Caenorhabditis elegans: one gene and its partner. The protein of the gene in region 1 interacts with the protein of each later gene in a pairwise test. Each region holds a gene or a part of one and is shown in the gene's direction. Other genes may lie near its edges.

Region 1 (3,922 bases):
ATGCTGCTTCAATCGATTTATGCGGCGTTGAAGTTTTGGCACTAAGATTGTTCGGAGCGGACAGCTGTTCAGCGTATATGTTGGCACAAGTATCGGAAGCCGTCAGAAGAAGTGGGCAACCATCGGAAGTGATGTCCTCTGGTTTTTTAATCTTGTGTGTGGAGCCATGCTTCTTCAAACTTGCATTCGAAGCGGTTTTGCGCAACTTCCCGGTCCCCTTCTTGTCCTTCTTCTTGGTTTTCCATTTTTTTGGTGGAACTACCGAGCTCTTGACATTGTGCGGTTTCTTAGTCTTTTTTTCCTTTCTGAAATGTTCTTATTTTAAATTTATATAGCAAGACTAACTTTAAATAATAACTTTAACTACTCTAACTTCAAATTAAACAACCGCATTATAACTTACGTGGACATCTTTCGTTTCCCTTTGTAGACTAGAAGTTTTTCTTGAGAAAACCAAAGAAACTATTCTTGTGAAATTAAGAACTAATGTTCAATTTGAAACTTTGGTATTTTTTTATAAGAATTTACGTGTTGGAACGTGTTTTATTTTTAAAAAAATAAGAAGTCACGACAAAAAAATTAATTTATTTTTTCAGTATGAATTATGTAAATTTTATACTAAATTAAAAAAAAATTATGAATAGATAAATAAAATTGCTCACTGGTTCAAGGCGTATATCTCTACGCAACCATCTTTTTCAAATTTTTTTTAATGATTTGCCCCAGCTATTAAACTAGCATTCGCAAACGCTTTCTTAAAACATTGAAAAAAAAAGAATTTTCAGATGCGTGGGGAAATCAACACATCCAGATTTCCATTGTTTTTTTATTTGGAGACCACTAAAATTGCTCTAAAAACGGGGTTTCGCTAAACTTGACCAAAAAGTGTTAAGATTTTCGAAATAATAATGAAAATTTTTTAATTTTTCCAAACAGCCTTGCGGGTTCTCTTCGACTGCCTATTGTATATAATGTATATGTAAACCCAACAAGTTGTTATGGATTTGTTTGTTCTTATTATCTTACAGGTTGCGAGTGCTGTTTGATATGGAGGCAGTAAACGACGTTTCCTACAAAACCTTAGAATTGATGAAACTAATTGTGCACTTGGAAAAAAATCATTTAAACGAGTTAAAGAGTTCCGGCGTTCGTCTTCAACATAACTTTTCAGATTTGTTCCTAGAGAATGATTTTAAAAATCGGTTTCATACAGAAAAGTTCAGCCGATCTTGATTAACAGTGACATATGCCTTGAAATAATTTTAGAAAATATTCAAATGCATTTATTTTTGATCTGCTTGCAAAACTAAGTGTGCGTGCAATTTTTGTCCTCTCGATTGGTCTTATCAATTGTTCTCAAGGAAAAATTTTAATCTGTAAATGTAGAAACCAATAGACTAAGAAGGTCAATAAAATGATATCATTTTTCCACGACAGTGATATCACAGCTCGAGAATAGCTGGGGGTGTTGCGTTTGAATACAGTGATAACGCTAATAAATTTTACTATAAATGCTCAAAGTCAATCTGATAATTTACTTTCCACTTTGTCATCAAAGATGATTGTAGCGTTTTGGCTCCTTGCACTTGTCACAGTTTCAACAGCTTTGGGTAAGATACACACATTTTTTGAAAGACTTATAAATCTAACTATACATTTTTCAGAATGTACTCAGATCCCTGAGCCAATCATAGCTGGAGAGTTTGTGACAATACCAGCGGGTGCTAATGACACAGTTCAAATTCCACCAAACTTCAGTTGTACCTACAATGTAAGTTATTGGTTTCTTTTGAGTTGCTCAGTAGTAAGTAAGTTCTCAATTTCGCTTCCAAAATTCTAGCTTACAAAAATCAAATTTTTCTAACCTTCAGGTAAACGCACCGCCAATGATTTATGCTCATGTTACACTGGAAAACGGATTGAATGGAAATAATGACATGATTACCGTAATTGACGAACAATTAACAAGAACAATAGTGTCAAGGTAAATCCTATTATTCTTAACATTTTAAGAAGCACGCATGTTTTATTCCGTCAACAAAACGAGCTTAAAATTAAACAAAAATTACTAACCTCCCAAACTTCCAATTTTCAAAAATTTCAGTCATTATGATAGCCTTTTAAAAACTACTAATGCTATTCAGTTTATGAAAATTTCAAACTTATAAAACCTGTCTTAACCAGAAAAAAACGTTTTAAATAGGAATGTGTTCAAGAAAACACAGGTTCAACATTTGAATCTTCACGACATGTCATTTTTGAGGTTATTCAAATTGAGTTTCTTTCCTCAAACTATTTGAGACTCAAGCTTTCAGAAAATATATCATTCGACCCATAACTATCTGGTGACCAAAAAATAGTCCCTAGTTAGTCGTTTGTAAGCTCGATTTTTCTCTCTCCATCAATTTTTCTAATTTTTCGAATTTCGCATTTGTTTTCAGCCGATCTGCAAAATTTGTCCATTTCTACATTTTCCCAAACACGACTACAAAATTCCAAGTGATCACAAAAAGTGTAAACATGCATTCATCATTCAGAATAGTAGTTCATTTTGAAAGAAGTGAGTAAAATAATACTAAAACTAATGAAAAACTTATTTATTCTAGTGCTGAACACAACAGTTACTCATCTTGGAAACCCCGATATGAAATATTTCATGTTGAACGATTTGCGAGTCAATTCCTACAGAACACCCCAGACAATGATTTCAAATGAGAGAGTGAGTTGAATTCAGAAATAGTTTAAGTATTGAGTTAAAAAAATTCAGATTTCACTGTCGATTGCTCACTCCGGCTGGTACAGTGACATTTTCGATAACTATTTTGTAATTGAAGGATACATTGAGAACCCAAAAGCTGTTTACCGAATGTCTAAGTTTGTCTACCAAGGATACATCAGCACCGGAAATATCCTAACTGTTGTTGGATTGGATAATAGAGTATCAGAGAGTTCTGTTACATTTGTTCCACTTTCACAAGCTCAACAATATGATTCATATACTGCATTCAGTACTTATTTCCAAGCAAATCAATTGGATATGGATTCAACTGTTGGAGATAAAAAGAAGAAAGCAGTTACTGTCATTTCAATGGAGGATATTGTTTTAGTGATTGACGTTCAGAAGGTGAGAAAACTGAATACTTTGGATTAAAAAAAAAGAAATCTCCTGTTCCATTGAATCAGATTAATTTTCAGACCAACGAACCAAATTGTGTACTGAGAGCAGTTCAATATCCTCCAACTCCATCATCTGAAGTATATCTTGACTTCACAGCTGTATATGATTATCCGAGAAACATCACCCACAAATCATTCTGCATTGTGGCGGAAAACTGTGCAGCAACTTTCAAGCTCGTTTCTCCATATCCTGAACAGAACTGAATGTTGTCCAATAAATAATTTCAATTATAATATTTTCCAAAACAAAACATGTGCACAATATTTGAGTCTGGGTGGTTATCAACAGCATCCAAAAACATTTTAGGCATTTGATTAACTAAAATAAGCTTTCTTCAAATAAATAAAATAGTCATTTTTGTGTCTAACGTTGTATCTACTGTCAAATTAAAAACCGCCGAAGTTCCCGTAAAAATGCGGAAAAATGAGATAGGCAGACATATCGGAAGCCGTTGCTGTGTAGCATTAAACCACGGTTTCTGACATCCCTATATTTAGCAATGTAAGATTATGTTGAATTATGTATGTATGGGATCTATCACTATCGTTTTCGAGTTTTAATTGGTTTCTTATAGAACCGATTAACGATTAACTGATTCCGTTAAATTGCGGGAACAACCAATATAAATTAAAATTACTTTTTAATGACCATATCTCCACAGTTTGTTACTTCCACCTTTTACACAACATTTGCAAATATTTGACATTTGTGAAACGTTAGCGAAATTATATAGAATTTATTGTA
Region 2 (7,906 bases), on another chromosome or scaffold:
ATATCTCAAAATACATTCACAGAATGATTCCTTGTATACATGCACAGAATGGCTGTTTTGTACCTACTGTTGTTTTCCCAATCTGAACCGTTTTCGCAATAGGCGACCCATTATTTTTTCTATCAACTCGTTTTTATTTTTGTTAGCTTCATCATCGTTTTTATCCACTATCTCCCATGCCTCCTCTCCCCACAACAAACACAGATCGTCTAGTAGCCTTTCTTCTCTCATTTAGGTAATTTCTTTTTATTCTTTTTTGGTTTTGAGCCCCATTTCCCTTTGAGCCCCGTCAGACCATTTTACCAGGTTCTTCTACCTTTCATATCCCCTCATCTCCACCTATCACCCCCATCTCTATCCCATTTTTTATTTCTTTTTTTCTGTAATTCCCCCTTCACTCGTTGTTGTTTTTAAGAAAACACACCCACGCCCTCTCATTCAATTATTTTATTCTTGTAATTCTTAAAATTACTTTACATTATGCGGAAAATCAATAAAAAGTAGAAATTCTTATTTCATATTTGCGTATTCTTTTCTCAATATATTATTCAGTTGGTTTTAACCATTTTCTCATGTACTGGTGATCAATCGTGTTGACGTCCACAATCGGGGACGTGGATCTGGTGACCATTTTTGGAGCCATCGGAGGCGGTGGTGGTGGTGGTGGAGCAGAAGCTGAGACTGTTGACGAGGCTGAAGGCTGTGCGATCTTTGATAGGAAGGACGGGTTGGATGCGGCCGCGTTCTGAAATTAACATGATATAAATTATAGAAAAATCTGAATAATTGTGCATTTTCTACTAAGGAATTCAATTTTTCTAGACTGAATCTGAAGATGGATCTCCAAAATTTCCGAACTAAATCAGATTGATCTGAGTATAGTTTTGTGAATTTTCAAGAAACATGATTTTTTAGTATTTCTGAAAACTTCAAAAGCCTATTTACCTGAAAATGATTCATGGCTGGAAAGATGCAAGTGGCTGTTGTCGAGTGTACAATCGGATCGCATTTCTCATAACCAAGAGATTCATAAAATCGACATTGATCATCAGTTGAGAGATATGCTTCATTGAAACCTTTTTCCGTCATCCATTTTTCTGTGGATTTCATTAAGAATTTCCCGAGTCCAAGGCCACGTTGATCCTTCTTGATCATCACTGACTCAATCCATAAGGCATGGTCACTGAAAATTAACAAATTTTGGGAGAATGGTTTGAGAATTATGATAGCTTCCTTTATTTTCAGGCTAAAATTTTTTAACTTTTTAAATATTTTTTCCTGAAATTTTAGTGAGTTATCAAATTTTCTAATTGTTGAAATATAATCCGAAAGTTTCAAATTTTTATTGTTTTATTCCAATTACTCACCGATTTGGAAGATGTGTGATTCTTGAGTGGCCTAGTATCTCGTCATTCTCCTTATTGAGCAACAAAAACGACATTGGAGGGGACTGACGGCATGATTTTTTCTGTGAATGCTCACGAGATCCATCGCTTCTGGGCCATTCCTGGAATTAGAAAAGTTCAAAATTATGAATATAGCTATTTATTTTACCAAAGAAAAAATACATTTAGAAAACCACTCTAGAATACAACTCACCGAATTCAAAAATGTCATACTCTCCTTCAAAAGATCCTGCCTATCATAAAGCGTAACAAAAAATAAGTCCGGCATCCTAATACCCGATAATTGGTTATGTTTCTGAGCTCAGATGCCCTCATCACACTCGATGGCCTAGAAATCTCAACTCTAGATTTCCCGTCCACGCGTTCTCACTCTTGTTTGCCTCGGCTGGCAAAGTGCCAACTCGCTTTAAAAAGTTTAATTTTTGAAATCTCATATTTCCTTTTAATGTTCTTTTTTTAGTTTCTGATTGAATTATTATAATTACAGAGAAATGAACGATTTCGAAACATTAACCCAGTTATGTCTCGATATTGTTCACATGAAAATCACACCGATGAAGGCTTATGAAAGGATACTCACAGAGAAGGTTTCGTTCATTTAAAATCTTGAACAAATTAGAAATCATTAATTTCAGAAAGATCGAGATGCCATCAGTTCGGAGCTGATCGACGTGTTAGTGCTCACCGAGCCGGAGAGCGAGTTCGCTGACAACGCGAGCACTTCCAAAGAGAATTTTGAATCCTTTGTGAATCTACTCACTAACACGGTAATAAAACTTTCAACTTTTAAAGCTCAAGGTTCAAAAAAGGCTTATTTATATGGAAGATAGTATTATTGGCGGAAAATAAAATTAACCTGTAGTTTCAGGATTGAAAAAAACTAATATTCTAACTTAATCCAAAATTGTTTAACAAAGAAATGAGATTTTAACTGGAAATTTCCTGTAAAAATACCAAATTTTTTTCAGATAATCCCCGAAGAAATCCTCCGCCTCGAGCTGGATTGTTTCAAAAAAGATGATCACAGCAAGGCACTAATTAGGTTGAAAACAAAAGTCTAGTAAGTTAAATTCATTCAATTTCTGCAAAAACTCATTTTTCTTCAGTTTCAAACAGGCCAAATTCAACTTATTTCGAGAAGAGTCTGAAGGTTACTCAAAACTTGTCACAGAGCTTATGGAAGCAGCCGAGAGCTCAGCGAATGAGAATGAACATGCGAAGATTCTGAAGCATCGAGTACTTTCATTAATTGGACAGTTCAATTTGGATCCAAATCGTGTCACTGACGTTATATTGGAAGTTTTCGAGAATTTCCCGAGGCAGAAGGTAAAATAAAGAATCTGCATAAATTCATGATGTTTTGGTGGTCAACCATGATGTGGGCGGAGCTTATTTGAAAGTTCAACAATAGAGAAAAATTGGAATTTATAACTTTTCCGTTTATCCTTTACAAATAAAACAATTGGAAATTCAAATGATGAGATTAAGAAATCTTGAAACGAATCCAGCTCATTTGTATTTTAAAAATATTTATTTTTAATTTCAGCTCCTTTTCATTGCACTTCTCAAAGAAATTGACGTGGTCCGTGACTATCTGTGTGCACTTCTGGGCTTCAAATTCACATTCTATCAATCGGATAAAAAGAAGAAAACGCCATATTCGTTGTACGTTCTGACAGCTTCGCTCATTCAACATGAAATGATCGATATGATGAAGATTTTAGGATATGTGAGGAGTCCCGTTTTAAATTATTCGAAATTATTAATTAATATTTATAGATGATTCCAAAAGCCGAAGCAATTAAAGAAGGGCACCGTTCAAGAATGCAGAATGCACAAGAAAGAGCATCAAAAGCAGAAACAATTTCTACAGCTTCAATGCCAATTATGGATTCAAGAGGTTTCGATGAAAATGGAATAGGTGGAAATGCGGTTAGGTCGGAAAATTGAATATTTATCTAATTTTTAAAAACATTTCAGACAACGCAAACGATTTCCTTCACTACAGTAATCCAACTTCAAGAAGACGAGGATATAAAATTATCTGAAGGGTTTAATGAGGAATATGTTCTCTCATCAAATCAGAAGCTTGGTTTAACGTGTGCATTATTAGAAAGTGGAAACTGGAAACAAGCTCAAATGCTCATTGATCGTCTCCCAGAATACTATGCAGTTCAAGCTAGTCCACGACTCTGTAGAGCTCTTTGCAAAATAATTGAGAAATCAATTAACGATTTTTACAAGAAAAATTGTTCGCTGAACTTGTTTGGAGATTTGATAAAATCGACGAAACCAGTGTTAGATGATATGGGAAATGGATTAAGACCAATCGAAAGTTGGGAAGATCTTGGAAAATTGTCAAGTGTACTTGCCTATTTGGGACCTAGAATAGCCTTTCGTGCTTCAACAAATATCAAAATTGTTCGACTTTTGACTGCCTACTACCGAAAAGTTGACAAGGATCTGCTACCGAAGGATGATAAACGTAGGTTTTTTTCAAATGTGAAATTTTGCGATTTTCGCCCCGATATTAAGGTTAACAAAACATTTTGAAAAAACGATAAAAACTAGGAAAAATTAGTTCGTATCTACAGAACTCCTTGTACTTTTGTACTTTTTTAAAATTTATGTAAATCTGTCACTTCGAGATCGAGCACCGTATTTTTGAAGAAAAAAAAACAACCATTTTCAAAATTAAATATCATTATTTCAGTAAATCAAAATTTCGTGGAAGTCGTCTCCGAATGTCTTCTACCATCTCTCACACTGTCCGAAACAAATGTTGCACTTAGTGAAGAGATTTGGCAGCTCCTTGAGCTTTTCCCGTATTCTTGGAGATATTGGATGTATTCAAAATGGAATCTTGAAACTTCAAGACATCCAGAAATGCATATAATGAAGGGGAAAATTCATGGACGAACAAAATATGTTCTGAAGCGTCTTTCGAAGGAAACTGTAAAGATGATGGGCAGACAATTGGGAAAATTGTGTCATATACATCCATCTACAGTACTCTCATATCTCCTCAGTCAAGTGCAAACTTTTGATAATTTCATTGGACCTGTTGTGGATAGTTTGAGATATTTGACAAGTCTTGAATTTGATGTTCTCACTTGTAAGTTTTCAAACAAAATTTAAAACAATTTTTTTTAGAAAACGAGAAAAAACGTCCAAAAAATTATTTTGTTAAAACCACGAAAACTGAAAGGTTTTGTAAATTTCGAACGTTTTTTTTTGAGAAATTTTAAGATTTTAACATATAAATTCATAAAAAAATTTTATGGAAAAATTGATACATTTTAAATTTTTGAGTCTTTCAGTTAGCTATGTGAAAAAATTCTCGTTTTTTTCATTCACTTGTAAACAAGTCAAACTTTTTCAAATCTATTTTAAATATTTCTCATTTGAAGGTTTTCCATTTATTCCAGATTGCATCATCTCCCAATTGGCTGATCCATCGAAACAAGCTCTCAAATCCACTGATGCTACCATCTCTCCTTGGCTGCAAGCTCTTGGAACACTGGTTGGATCTCTCTATCGAAGATATCCACTCGAACTGAACGGAATGCTAGACTATGTGCTAAATCAATTGAAACTTTGCAAAAGTTACGATATGCTTCTTCTTCGAGAAATTATCCAGAATATGTCATGGATCGAGAGTATCAGTGGAGCAACGAAAGAACAAATTGAAGCACTTGGAGGTGGAGACTTGTTGAAACAGGAAGCTGGTGGATATTCAACGGCAACAAAGAATAGAAAAGCTGCTCAACGTCTACGTGATGCACTTCTGAAAGGAGATTTGGCTGTTGGATTGGCAATTTCAGTTGCTCAACAAAAAGAGCATATTGTCTACAATGAAAGCTCTACTCTTCCATTGAAACTTGTTGGAAAAATGGTTGATCAGTGTAGTGACACATTTCAACAACTCGTTTCATTTTTGAGTGTTTATCTGAAAAATGATGATTTTTCGAAACGAGTTCCAACTGTTCGTGAATTGTTATCTGATTATTCACTTGGAATGGAAGCCACAATGTGTCTGGCGAGACCTATTTTCTTCTCAAGAATATCAGATCACTATGATGCGGCTAAAAAAATCTCGAAAGCTGCTGTTGAAGATGGACAAAAGACTCGTTTGGATACACAGCAAAAGACTGAAATGTTTACAAGTGCGTTGGAATCACAAGTGGAAATGTTAATGGATGAGCTGAAAGCATCTGAACCTGGCATGGAGGAGAATATACCTGTGAAGTGAGTTTTTATCAAATTTTCGCCCAGTTTGCTAAATTTTTCTTTCAGATTCTTCGCTGTTTTCTGGATGCTGACAATGTATGATATCGAAGTTCCGACAGCTGCATATGAACGGACACTTGATGCTTTAAAGAAACAGTCAAGAGAAGACAGTCATGTTAGTTTTCATCTATAAATAATCTACTATTTTTTATTTCAGGGAAAAGCTAAGAAAACTGATAAACAGTTGGAGAGTAAGCTTCGAGAAGAGCAGAAGAGGCAAATTGAGCACGTGGAACGTTGTAAAGTATGGCTTCTGAACAAGAAAGACTCGTTGATTGATGAGCAATTCCATAATTGTAAGTTTATGCATGAAATCCGCTTTAATACTTTTCCAATATTTCCAGCTGTATTGGAAGCTCTCATTCAACAATGCCTCCTGCCACGTGCCATATTCTCCGAACTTGATGCAGTGTTCTGTGGTCAATTCTTCATGATGCTTCACGAAATGCGGACTCCATTCTTCCCATCGGTTCTGATCATTGACAGACTCTTCGAGAACATAATTCCTCTGATCGCGGGGCTCACCGAGAACGAAGCCAACTCGCTGGCATGCTTCTTTGAAATTCTGCTCTGCACTGTTCAAAGATGGCACTCGGAGAAAGAAGTTTTCGAGAAGGAATGTGCAGGATTTCCAGGAATGATCACAAAACAAGCAATTGAATATCAAACTTTCCGAAAGTTATGCTATAGATGGCAAATTCGATTTACTGCCATGTTTAAGACAGTCTTCACAAAAGATGATGCTGACTATGTACTTATCAGAAATTCATTGATTATGATGACAAAGTTGACATCTGGATTTCCAGTCATATCACATGCAGTCGCCACAATGGAAACAGCTGTAACCAAGTTGAAGGATCGAGAGAAGGGAAAACGTGACGATCTATCATTAAAAGCAGCCTCGTATGTTGGAAAGCTCAAGATGAGAACTGTGAAGATTTATGCTCAAAATTCGGATTACGCCCCAGTTCCCAACAAGAAGGTGTCGGTCGGTGCTGAAAAACCAAAGAAAAAAGAAAAAGTGGTAGATGAGAAAGATAAAGCTGATGGGGAACCAGTTGATAAGAAGATTAAAGTAGATTCGAAGAAAAATGGGACGACGAGTTCGGAGAAAGTGGTGAAAGATGATGAAGTACATCAGAATGGAAGTGAAACAGAGAAGAAAGCTACAGTAGATAACAAAGAGAGAAAGAAGCGACCTGGAGTGAGTACATAAATTATTAAAATTCACAGAACTGAACTAACTATTATAATTTTAGAAATCATCCCACGGATCAAAAGAATCAAAGAAAGAGCCAACAACTGAAGATGGTGAAGTGAAGACTCCAAGTCCCCCTCCTGCAAAGAAGACTCGAATTGTTGATCGCTTAAAACGGTCTGATGAACCTTCAAAGAAAGATGAGAAAGAATCTCCGAAGGACACAGAATCTGAAAAAGGAGAAGGTAAGAAAAGAAGAGAACGATCGAAAGACAAAGAAACAGGAAAAGAGAAACGGTTGGAGAAGGATAATAAGGAACGAGAAAAGGATAAGGAAAGGAAGCGAGAAAATGGAGAAAACCAGAAAGAACAAAAGATTCTCAAAGATCAGAAGCAAAAAAGCAAGCCGTCCGATGAGAAGCTTGAAGTGGCAGGACCCGCGGTAAGATATTAACGTTTTCTCAAGCTATTTTCAAAATTTTCCTTTCGAAAATGTGATTTATTTCAGCTTCCCGACCCAGTTCCCAAGAAAGATGACAAGAAAGGCTCTCGAAAAGCGATTGAGTTTGATCTAGAGGAGCCTTCAAAATCAACATCGTCCTCTCGAAAAGATCGCAAAGATGATCGAAAAGAAAAAAAAGAAGAACTTCCAAAGGCATCAAGAATAGCAGAGCCTGCACGTGATGCTGGAAAGAGTGGAAGAGATCGTGGGCATCGAACATTTAGATGAGCTCTCACCACATATCCCCAGATTTTCATTATTGTATCTCAGTTTATGTTGTCTACGAGGTTTTCTATTGTATCCTGATGGATTATTAAATATTCGTTTTATTTTTTGTTAGCATTAAATCTAAAGACATTGGATCGTTGAACTTCTTGGAATGTGAAAGCAATGGAAGTATTTCGAATATAGAATGCTTGCTCGAAGAGTCAATCCAAAAGTCGAAGATCAAGTGCTAAATGTGAGCAAAAGACAACGTCAAATTTCCGAACGACTTCCAATCTATGGGAA

Evidence for each region. The genes of interacting proteins can lie anywhere in the genome.
Region 2: the proteins of C17H12.8 (region 1) and thoc-2 interact in a two-hybrid assay, tested with the Caenorhabditis elegans proteins (one large-scale study listed by BioGRID).

What each region holds. Positions count from the first base shown.
Region 1 is NC_003282.8:6,817,167-6,821,088, forward strand, and holds C17H12.8 (CUB-like domain-containing protein), read left to right. Parts: upstream 1-1,550; 5' UTR 1,551-1,558; coding exon 1,559-1,610; intron 1,611-1,664; coding exon 1,665-1,771; intron 1,772-1,871; coding exon 1,872-1,984; intron 1,985-2,441; coding exon 2,442-2,560; intron 2,561-2,606; coding exon 2,607-2,719; intron 2,720-2,767; coding exon 2,768-3,124; intron 3,125-3,195; coding exon 3,196-3,381; 3' UTR 3,382-3,409; downstream 3,410-3,922. Other genes in the region: C17H12.5 (Tyrosine-protein phosphatase domain-containing protein), read right to left, coding at 1-305, 404-411.
Region 2 is NC_003281.10:6,366,149-6,374,054, forward strand, and holds thoc-2 (THO complex subunit 2), read left to right. Parts: upstream 1-1,893; 5' UTR 1,894-1,897; coding exon 1,898-1,993; intron 1,994-2,041; coding exon 2,042-2,173; intron 2,174-2,374; coding exon 2,375-2,466; intron 2,467-2,512; coding exon 2,513-2,732; intron 2,733-2,952; coding exon 2,953-3,135; intron 3,136-3,185; coding exon 3,186-3,338; intron 3,339-3,386; coding exon 3,387-3,891; intron 3,892-4,119; coding exon 4,120-4,521; intron 4,522-4,834; coding exon 4,835-5,654; intron 5,655-5,702; coding exon 5,703-5,811; intron 5,812-5,853; coding exon 5,854-5,992; intron 5,993-6,040; coding exon 6,041-6,900; intron 6,901-6,955; coding exon 6,956-7,336; intron 7,337-7,402; coding exon 7,403-7,624; 3' UTR 7,625-7,756; downstream 7,757-7,906. Other genes in the region: C56G2.15 (N-acetyltransferase domain-containing protein), read right to left, coding at 545-745, 946-1,183, 1,368-1,507, 1,600-1,674.